Linked DNA regions of Mus musculus: region 1 is reported to be linked to region 2. The links are microRNA targets in miRTarBase. Many come from high-throughput screens and were not tested one by one. Region 2 holds a microRNA gene; the other region holds the end of a gene's coding sequence.
What was found. Region 2 holds the annotated microRNA mmu-miR-335-3p (UUUUUCAUUAUUGCUCCUGACC, at 2,252-2,273, opposite strand). A microRNA usually pairs through its seed, bases 2 to 8, with sites in the 3' UTR of a target mRNA and lowers its output. Matches are read on the target gene's strand: a 7mer-m8 pairs with bases 2 to 8, a 7mer-A1 pairs with bases 2 to 7 and ends in A, and an 8mer does both.

Region 1 (5,525 bases), not on the chromosome of region 2:
GTCATGGGTCTGTAATTTGTCAGATTCCTTTTGGGGCAGGGAGGCAGAGCAGGAGGTATTGGCTCTAGTTGGGGCTTAGCTTAAGCATTAATAAGCTTTGGATCTGACTCTTATGCAAGTAATTGTGCATTCAAATCCTGAAGAGCCAGTCAGACTCCTCAGACAACTCCATTGGTCTATAGAGGGCTGAAGCTCAGGGCTCTTAGCCTGCCATCCTCAGTCGTAAGGGGACCATGGCCACTTCAGGGCCTAGTGGATCAATGTTTGAGGCTCACAAAATCTAGGCTTTGAATTTTTTTAAAGATTAATTTTAGTTTTTTTTTTAAGACTTAGTGTATGCGTATGAATGTTTTGCCTACATGTTTGCTCTCAGCACAAGAGGGTCAGATGCCCTAGAACTCAGGAAATGGAGTTAAGGGTATTTGTGAGCCACTATGTGGGTGGTGGGAACTGAACCCAGGTCCATCTGTCGCAAGCCGAAGCCAGTGTTCTTCTTATCTGTTGAGCTGTCTCTCCTATTCTTTATTGTTGTGTGTATGTCTGGGTGTAGGTTTGCTCACATAAAGGTAGACCTCACAGAGTCCGCAAGGGGGCCTCTGATTTGGGGCTGGAGTTACAGATGGTTGTAAGCCACCCAATGTGAGTTCTGGGAACTCAACCTGTTTTTTTTTTCCCAAGAACAGTACGTGCTCTTGACCACTGACCCGTTTCTCCAGCTCCACGGTCTTATTTTTCAGGTGTCCATCATACCTCGAGGCAAGGGGCTTGGCTACGCCCAGTACCTTCCCCGCGAGCAGTTCCTCTACACACGAGAGCAGCTCTTCGACCGCATGTGTATGATGCTGGGGGGTAGGGTAGCTGAGCAGCTGTTCTTTGGTCAGATCACCACCGGAGCTCAGGACGACCTGAGGAAGGTCACCCAGAGTGCCTATGCCCAGGTGAGGAGCAGTGTCCCTCTGTGTGGCCCTGTGTGTGGCTGCCTTGGACACCACTTACCCCGGGCCCCTCCTATTCTTCAGATTGTGCAGTTTGGGATGAGTGAGAAGCTGGGCCAGGTGTCCTTTGACTTCCCCAGACAAGGCGAAACCATGGTGGAGAAGCCATACAGTGAGGCTACTGCCCAGCTCATTGATGAAGAGGTCCGGTGCCTCGTCAGGTCTGCCTATAATCGGACCCTGGAGCTGCTCACACAGTGCCGGGAGCAGGTGGAGAAGGTAAGTGGGGCCCAGGTTGGGGTGTGGACCATGCTGATCTCCGTGGGCCTACTTAGCTTAGGTTCTGTCATGGATCAGGACCACTAAGTGCATCCGGGTCCTGGGCACAGCAGCCTGACGGGTGGCCATCCTTTTCAGGTTGGCAGGCGTCTCCTGGAGAAAGAAGTGCTGGAGAAAGCCGACATGATAGAGCTCTTGGGCCCTCGGCCCTTTGCAGAGAAGTCCACCTATGAGGAATTTGTAGAGGGCACCGGCAGCCTAGAGGAGGACACATCCCTTCCTGAGGGGCTGAAAGACTGGAATAAGGGGCGGGAGGAAGGAGGCACTGAGCGGGGCTTGCAGGAGAGCCCTGTGTAGCCTGTGGCCACCGGGGCGGCTTATGACCACTGCTGACTGGGAGCTGCTCAGCCATCGCAGAGCAGCTGTCAGAGTAACTGAAAGACTAATTAAAACAGGTGACAACTTCGAACACACGTCTCAGATAAGACCATGCAAAATTCACAGAAAAGCTGCTAGACTCCAGCATCCAGCCAAGGAGATAGCTGAGGGAACAAAGGTGTGGCCTGCGACCATAGGCCCTGGACCTAAGGCTGGCCGGTTCTCCAGGTTCTGTGAAGCCTGAGTGATGTCTTTTTGGAGGGATTCCAGGTGTGGGGCTGTGAGGAGCTACATTGTGTTTGATTAAGTTTCCAAGTGAGCCTCTTACAGCTGCTTCTGAGGTAACCTGCTCAAGGGCTGAGCCCTGACTCAGCACAGATAAAGGTTGGTGAAGAAGTAAAGAAAACATAAGACAGTTAAGGAAGGAAGGCGAGCCGGGCAGTTGTGGATTAAAGGCAGAGCATGCCTTTAATCCCAGCACTCGGGAGGCAGAGGCAGGCTTGATTCCTGAGTTCGAGGCCAGCCTGGTTTACAGAGTGAGTTCAGGGCAGCCAGGGCTACACAGAGAAACCCTGTCTTGAAAAACCAAAAAAACAAACAAAAAACAAAAAAAATAAAAATAAAAAGGAAGGAAGCTGCTCAGCCCTTAGGAAGGAAAGCCAGCGCACCAGTAGATGTGCAGTGGAGGACAGGGACCGTGGCCACCCCACCTGTGGCAGCGTCAGAAATTCTGTTTCGTCAGTCAGACCTGGCTTCTAGCCTTTGGGTTTCTCTGCCTCACTGATGGGAGTGTCAGATTTAATTCCGTCTCACAGCAGTCCTTCCTTTCTCCAGCATCCATGCCCCCCCCCCTTTTGAACCACAGAGGGTGGTTTAGGTTGAGCCCTCTGGCTCTGGTGCATGGGGAGGGCTTTGGAACGCCAAGCCTCCGTGGGCTGCAAGAGGCCTCTCTTTCCTGTTAATCTGGGCTGTGTCGAGGCCTGCTCTGTGAGAGCCGAGTGCTTGGAGTGGAGCTTTGGGTTCCCTGGATGTTGTTGTGGACTTGCTCCAGGTTTCGGGGGGACACAGATCTCAGGGCTGCACCATCCGCTGCAATAGCCTGCGTTGGGGCTGCTCGTGGCCCTGGGGAGGAATCTACTTGCTCCCTTGACTCTGTAAAAGTGTGTGTGTGTGTGCATGTGATAGTGTGTCTTCCTCAACTGCTTTCTATCTCTACTGTTTTCCACTTACATCTGCACACGCACGCACCACGGTGCACATGCGCAGGGCACAGGACAACCTCTGGAGTCGGGGCTCTCCTCTGTGTGGGTTCCAGAGATCATCAGGCTTGGCAGAGGCGCCTCTACCCACTGAGCCATCTCGCCACCCAGTCTACCTTGCTTTTTAGATGGAGTCTCGTATTGAGTCTGGCTGTGTTTGCAGGTCAGCAAGCCCCAGGGATCCTCCCGTCTCTGCCTGCCCAGTGCTGGGATTGCAGGCTCACCTTTATCCTGGCCGTTCCGTGAACGATGCAGGGCTGTAGTGGATGTTCATGCTTGTGCACAGGCACGCTACCGACCCTCCTGCCTTTCAGCTGATGCCATAGCTTCCCGGGTGCCTGGCCAGGATGGTGGAGGCCTGTCCTTCTCTTTGGGGCCCGGCTAAGGGCCAGATTGGGTGGACTGGGTGTATTAGCTGGATGTAAAGACTATACTGGGTGTGCATGGTATCGCACATTCTCTAAACTGTCACGCTCGCCTCAGAGATGTCATCAGGAGACAGATACTTTCAATTTTCACTGTTTGTAAAGTGTACATTATTGAATTTTAAAAAAATTATTTCTAATTGTATGTGTATGGGAGTTTTGCCTGTATGTTTGTATGTATGTGTGTGTATGTACATGTGCAGCACATGCATGCAGTACCGATAGGGTCCAGAAGAGGGTGTCAGATCCTCTGGAGCTGGAGTTAACAGTTGTGAGCCACCATATGGGTGCTGGGTGTTAAACTTAGGTCCTCTGGAGGAGCAACCAGCACTCTTACCTGCTGAACCATCTCTTCAGCCTCATGTTATTGAATTTTAAACCCATATCATGGTGTCAACCAAATTATTCACTGAGCAACTCAGGGCCCTGGGGTCTTGTGTTCAGTTCCCTCTGATGAGGTGGGGTGATCCCTTGGTGCCCAGAAGGCCTGTGACATGGTAGACTCTGTGGTAGGGACTCCAGGACCAGCACTGACCTGCTGTTGAGGTTGCTACCTTGGCAATCTATGTGACCGACCAGTGGTTGGGCGCGGTGGGTGGCTGGGTTTGCCCTGTCTCCTCTGGGCTTCTCCTGAGGCATGTCAAGTGTCAGAACCTCCCATTTGGAGCATCTGGAGGAAGTGGGAATGGTGGGGACAGGCACAGTGTATGCCTTTAGCAGACTGAATACCATCAACCCCAGTCACAGCCATCTCCCACCCTTTGAGCAGACCTGGGGGCAGGCCTCCTGTGCCTCCCATTCCATTGGCTCAGCGTCCTCAGGTTGTTTCCTACCCACACCTCCACCTTTGATCCAGGTGCGCCCCCACCCTGTCCCCAACACACATACTCTGTCTTTCACAAGCTGCTGGTTAAAGAGCTGTAACATCCTCTTTCTTGCTCTTCTTACCAATGGAATCTCATCTATTTTACATGACTCATGGGTGTGCCACAGCATTTCTAGACAGCAGATCATGGAGCCCTGTGCTGGCGCTGTCCCACCTGCTGTGCTGACCTGAGAGTGCTAGAGGTCAGGGACATGCGATCTGAGCATCCTTGCCTGCTCAATGAGAGCAGCGAGGGTAGCCAGGGTCTCTGCCACCTCCCTCCTAGAAAAGGGGCAGGGAGGGATAAGGGTGCTTAGAATTTGCCAGAAGCCACACCATTCCCATAAAATGCACACGGTAGACCTGGCTGCCCCGAGCCTCCAGAAGTGGTCAGGCCTGGCTGGCTTTTATGTTCATCTCATTCCAGTGGTTAAGTAGCAAGGTTTGGGCTTCCCCGTGGCTTCCGGGCAGAGTGCTCCTTCGGCTCAGACCACCTCTGTTGACTGGAAGAGTTGGCAGGGCAGGATTTTCTTTCTTAGTGATTCCTTTTGTTGTATTAACTTAGGGGCTAGAAATCCAGGGCACTTGTCCCTAAAATACAACTCAAATAAGCACAGCCTGGAACTGCACAGCAGAGCTCCCATGGCACTTTGATGCCATCTAGAGGGACCAGAGGTCCAAAGATGACGGGGATACTTTAATCCCACTCTGTAACTGTGCCCTGTGGAAGCTGCAGCAGGAAGGGTGGATGGCGAGGGTAAGACCCTGGCAGGCTGGAGTGTGGCCAAGGCTACCTGGAGATGAAAAGGCAGCTGCTGGGTTGTATCCCTTGGAAACTAGGGTTGGTTTTCATTTTGGGAGACGGGCAGAAATAACCCACATTTGGGGGTCAGCAGTGCAGAGGCAGGGGGGCTCTGAAGAGGAACCTCCTGGATGCAGCTCTGCCCCCAGCAGAAGCCCAGGGCATTTTCTCCCCGGTAGCATTCACTGCAAATGACAATCAAAAGCCTTGTCCTCCTCAGAAGATGGTGGGCAGCGGGCAGGTCAACCTGGGGACAAAAAGCAAGTACACTTTTATTTCAAAACAGTCTTTGATTTGTGGTCAGAGCAGCCAGTGTGTTTGTCTTTGTGCACATGAAAGGAACGTTGAATCTCTAAACCGAGTGCCTAGCATCTCACAGCACAGTGGGTGGCTAGGTTGTTCCCGTCACCCCTCAGCTGCTCCCGAGACAGATCCACAGTGTCGGAGCCTCCCAACCGAACATTGGGCAGGATGTGTGGGCGGTCAGGCAATGGGGTGTGGAGGATACACAGTGTGCGCCTCTGACAGACACAGGACTGGGGAGGTGGCACTCTGTCCTTCCGAGCCACCTGGAAGTCTTCA
Region 2 (5,525 bases):
TTTTGTTTTTGTTTTCAGGACAGGGTTCCAGGCCCTGGCTGTCCTGGAACTCATTATGTAAATCAGGCTGGCCTTGAACTCAGAGATCCACCTGCCTCTGTCCCCCAAGTGTTGGGATTAAAGGTGTGCACCACTGCACCTGGCTCTTTAGAAACAAACAACAACAACAAAAATGTGTGTTCATTGTGCTTATGTATATATTCGTGCCAAGACACATGCGGAAGTCTGAGGACAGCCCAGAGGGATCAATCTTCTCCCACAACGTGGGTTCCAGAATCAAAGTCATATCCACAGACTGGGCAACAAGCCCCTTCACCCATTGAGGCTCCTGCCATCATGGCTATCCTTTTATTTGCTATAGATTTGAAAATATGTATTCCATAAATACCATCAACCATGAAAACTACTCATGGCACAATGAAGGTAAAAGATGCCCGATATATGGTGTCTGTTTATAATATCAGATTATTTTTAAATTTTTTTTCTTGTGTGACTTAAAAGGGTGACTTTTTGAAACTACACCCTACTTTTCCACCTACCACCAAGGCAATTACCTCCATTCGACAGACAGAGACTCTTTATGGTGAGCCGGCCAGATCGATTCTGCTTGTACCTGGAGCAGGGCAAGAAAAAAAGACACATGTAGCTCAGTAACTGACTCCCCACAAGGGCTGCAGACGACCCCTAGAGGTGTGATGGTCCCAGAATACTTGAGTTTCCCATTATCTAAAGCTACGACACCTGTGCAGAGGACAGAAGTCCGGTTTCACTGACCTGTACAGCAGTTCCTGAGCAACGATATCTCCATAATCGTGAGACAGCAGGTTGATTCTGCGGTTCTGGAGCCCCAGGTGCCGCAGAAGGGACTCTACGATGCTGGCCTGCTCAAATATGGAGTACTGATGTGGTCTCTGAGGAAAGGAAAGCCAGAGATACAACATGATGTTAGCAGTGCCTGCCAGACCCTCATTTGTACCCACCCACCTACCCCCATCACGGACCACACCCAGCTGCTGCTTACCGGCTTGTCACTGAAGCCAAAGCCTAAGAAATCAAGGGCGATCACTCGATGGAACCTCAGGGTCAGCCCTTCCCAGATCTGTTAAGAAAGCAAGCATGGTGAGCACTCTGCTCCCACTGCCCAGCCCCACAGCAAACAGGCCTGCATGCCACTGTACGGAGAGCGTAACTCCAGCTTTAATTTGGCAGTGTCCCTTTCTGCAGTCAGTATTTTACTCCCCTTACAGTACATAAAAAGCAATTCTACATTTAATGAGATTTTATCAAACAGTTCAAATCTGCAAAAGAATTCTAGGGCTGACCAGAACAACAACAACAACAAAAAAAATATCTTGAGTTTTGAGTATTTTTTTTAGGACATAAGCCAGACCTAGAAACATTATTACCTTGTACCAGTCATAGCTGGATGTTGGAAAGCCATGTAAAAGCACAACTATCTCAGGGCTTCCGACCACACCGACAGAATCTAGGAGGAAAATGAGAAATGAGGCAAACTGCATGCAAGGCAGCCTTGACGACACCAAAATCTAATCCAGTCAAAAGGATCAGACTAAATGAATGACATCACCATGCTGTGTTAGAAAGCAAGCTGACAGGACTTCAGGAGCTTCCTCCTAATCTGCGCTTTTAAATCGTAATGGCATGCTTTACATGAAAACCCTTAAAACAGTTTGTTCATCATCACTTAAGAGTTGTGTAGACATCCTCATATTTTCGCTGACATTAATATAAAACTCAAATTTTTAAATAAAAAGGAAAAACAGTTAAAATACTATAATCACAGCAAGCTAAAACTTCTTTGTCCCTAATCAATATTTATCACACCTAATATCTAAGATGTGACAGTTCTTCCCAGTGGATCACCTGAGCTTATACCATTTGTCCATATACTAGCAGAATTCATGCAACTCAAAAAATCAAACTGTTACAAAGATGGGCTAATAGTGATGGGAACTTTTTCTGTATGTGACATATTTCAGATTATTCAAACAATAAAATACCTTGCCAACAGTACTGGATTGAAATTAATACTGCTAGTGGAATAAAACTTTGGTAGCATGTTTTCAGAAATTATTTAATTAAAAGCAATTAAAATATCATATACTGGATTTAACCTAAAGAACCTATGCAAATAAGATGTAACACTGAATATCAAGTCTGGGAAAGAACAACAAGCCAACATAAAAAAAAAAATGCATACTTACTCGACTGGCTATAACCCATGAGAGGGGGTCAGGAGCAATAATGAAAAACGGTTTACGAAAAACAAACATTTTTCGTTATTGCTCTTGACCCCCGCCCAAAAGAAATCTTTTCCAATCTGTTTCTCGGTTTCTTCAGCTATAAAATGAGGTTAATGGCACCTATCTCCAAATGCTGTTGTAAAAATTAAGTGAAAAATGAAATAATGAAGGTTAAAATATAACTGAATATCCTGAGTGTGGTAATTAAATAGCAGTCATCAAGTCAATCTTATCAGCTACATATAACAAATCACGGAAAATAGTGCATGAATTTGGGAATGGGGTGGGGCGTGGGGGAAACAAAGGTATAGATAGATCTCGAAATACTATATAGCTTACCTGACACTAGGGGCGCTCAAAAGAGAAAAGTAATTTCTCAAATACAAATGGGGCTGCAATTACTACCAGGCACAATTCTACCCCCACCTTCACCTCACCTTCACTGTGGAGCAACAGACCAAGGGACACAAAATAAGTAACTTCAGCTGAAACCTACACGACCCACGTCCTTGGGATTCTCCAATAGCCCAGTTCTCACCTTGGTAGAAGATGCGTAGGCCTTTGTAGGTGAAAAACTTGCCAGAAGTCTTCCATGAGTGCAGAGCAGGGGAGAGCTGAGGGGGCGGGATGTGCAGGTACGCAGCCAGCAAGGGCACAGCCAGGAGCCCTACTTGGACCCACCACTCTCTCATCCTGTGGAAAAAGCAGCCAAGGTAACATTGTACACTTCCAAAAATCAGAATGAAACATGGGTGGGAAACCTGGGCACTGTGAGGTTTGACCCCACCCCCCATCCCTCCCCTCCCCTCCCCACCCCTTCCCACTCGACCCCTCCCCTGCCCACTCCACCCCTCCCCTCCCCACTTCACCCCTCCCTTCCCCACTCCACACCTCCCCACCCAACGTGACAATGGCATAAACTTTACCAAGAAGAATGTGATAAACACCTTTACCCTTTGACATCTGGCAGTCACTGTACTAGCTCACTACCATTCTTTCCAAGCACATATGTAACTTACTGCATGGCCTTAAGCAGAGAGCTGCTCCTGGGTTCTAACACATACATATCCTCTGACCAAGTGAATCCCCATTTGGCACTACTGTCTGCATTTGGGCTATGGAACTGTTGAGGGGAGAGACCAGGAGAATTCCAGTAAGCAGCTTTGCCCTGACCCTGAATATCTAATCTCTTACAAGTCTGGGCAGCAGATTATATTTGTGCATTCTTAGCAGACTCTTGAGGTGGTTCCCTTTTATTTAATTAAGACCCCACCCCCACACCTAGCACTCAAGACTTTTGTGGGGGGGGGGGGCAGGAGGGGGGGGGAAGCACAGATTTGTGGCCCCAGCTTGCCATGCCTGGATTTCAAAGGTCCAGATCAATTTATCCTGGAGGCGAGAAATAAGGCACGATTAGAAACCATTTCCTTTGTGACCCGCCATGGTCACCAAGGAAAGGGTTCTCTAAAGAATTGGGATAGTGCCTCCTAAACTAAAGCTACAGACATTAGGAAGTGAGCTACAAATAAAACCGCTGTCTTTGTATTTGAGTGCACCCTATACATAACACATTACCTGCAATTTGATGAAACTGACTGGGTTTTTGTGTGTGTGGGGGGGGTGTTCTCTGTAAACCTGAAATGGTGGGTAAAAACCAGCACCCCTTAGGAACCTCAGCTGCCTGCCTCAACTTTAGTCAGCGCTGAGACTTTTTTTTCCTTCCTCCAAAGTCACTGTCCAATAAAGACACAAGGCTTTGGTTCTACCTTTTGAGGCTATACTAGAAATGCCTGGCACAGTGCCAGAACACGATGGTTTTTATCTCAGTCTGTTATCCACTAACGGGTTTTAAGGCTGAACCTCTTTGAAAAGCAAAAGCATTAGGTTTGGGGGAGGGGGGGGTCTTTTTGTTGTTACTGCTCATTTCCTCAGAACCCATTTGGTCCTGTTACCTGTTCATACATTTTCATGTAGCCTCTGGGGCATCCTTGCTGGACTCACTGAATCCGCAGTGACTCAGCAGAACGCCGGGGAGGGGCGCCTACTGCAGAGTGAACAGGGGCTTCCTGCTGGCGCAGGGAAACAGAGGTGCCACACCCACGCTCTCCGGACCATACCTCAGTGCACCTCCTCCATGCAGGAAAGGGGGGACAACCCCCCCCCCCAGCCATTCTCAGCTTTAGTTACCTTGGTAAAAATACCCCAAACATTTTAAGATTTTTAGCAGTCAAGGAAACTAGCAATCGGACCAAAAGGTTTAAACAATAATTTTTAAGTCCACTCTCTAATATTTGATGGTACCATGATTTAGAGCAAAAATTCAACACACTCGCACAACAAACTTTACGTGCCTTGATTTCTTACTGCTTTAAATGATGTAAAAACATATTTATCTAATACCACCAAACCAGCCCACCTGACTCATTCTTATTGAGAACTACGCTGTGCACCCACAAACCAAAGCAAACAATTCTTTTTACATTTTAAGAGCCTGGCCGCGTGCCGGTGTCCCCCGGGGTTTCCATTTCTGGCTCCCAAACAACACTTATAGCCGTGGCCACACTGCGCGGCACGATCTAGTCGCACCTATGCGGTAACCCTGCCATTGTGAGTCCAGAACCTGGAAATTTTAAGTCGCTCTGTGACAATCTCAGCTCCTGAATTCCTAAATCACATGCCGTGGTCTAGAAATCTTAAATCACGCCACAACAATGACCAGCTCTGAAGATCCTAGAACACACCAGGCATTACCAAGGTTCTCGAATCCTAAGTTGCTTCACCACCACCTCCTAAATCGTACCACAACGAAGACCCAGACAAAAAAAGGCTAATTCTCACATGTTAATGCAAAAATCCTCAAATTCGTAAATCTCACGCGACTAAACCCTGGTTCTAAAAATCATCAGTGAGGGCGATTCCGAGAGTTTGGGCTGGGCGGCAACCTTTGGATAAGGATTTTTGCCTCCCGCATCTCCGGGGTGCGGGCCGGCCACACCCCCTCTGGCGGCACGGGCTGGCAGCACCCACCTGCGCAAGCGATCTCGGCGCACCATGGCCGCATTATCCCATGCCGCCCGCCGCAGGATTGCGGATCACAGGGCGCGCCGAGGCGCCCGCAGCGATACAGGATCGGAGGTGGCGTCTGCGCAGCCTACGGTCCGCGCAGGGCGGCCCGCGGCAGCGGCAGCAGAGGCAGCAAGCAGCAACTCGGGCGAGCCTGCAGCACTACGCCGTTTGGCGAGGTGCGGCTGCCGCAGAGGA

Region 1: the mRNA of Afg3l1 is a reported target of mmu-miR-335-3p. Seed matches in the 3' UTR shown: 7mer-A1 at 2,171-2,177.

The regions. Positions count from the first base shown.
Region 1 is chr8:123,500,496-123,506,020 of GRCm38, forward strand. Afg3l1 (AFG3-like AAA ATPase 1) reads left to right here. Exons shown (of 17, transcript NM_054070.3): 15 at 738-938; 16 at 1,020-1,214; 17 at 1,353-3,421. The coding sequence ends at 1,571. It overlaps Dbndd1 (dysbindin (dystrobrevin binding protein 1) domain containing 1), which reads right to left. Exons shown (of 4, transcript NM_028146.4): 4 at 5,192-5,525. Among named protein-coding and RNA genes, the nearest start is that of Dbndd1, 12 kb to the right of the region's middle.
Region 2 is chr6:30,738,102-30,743,626 of GRCm38, reverse strand. Mir335 (microRNA 335) reads right to left here and starts at 2,328; the gene lies at 2,231-2,328. Mest (mesoderm specific transcript) reads right to left here. Exons shown (of 12, transcript NM_008590.2): 1 at 5,292-5,525; 2 at 2,803-2,957; 3 at 1,407-1,486; 4 at 1,022-1,099; 5 at 775-911; 6 at 555-613. The coding sequence starts at 5,317.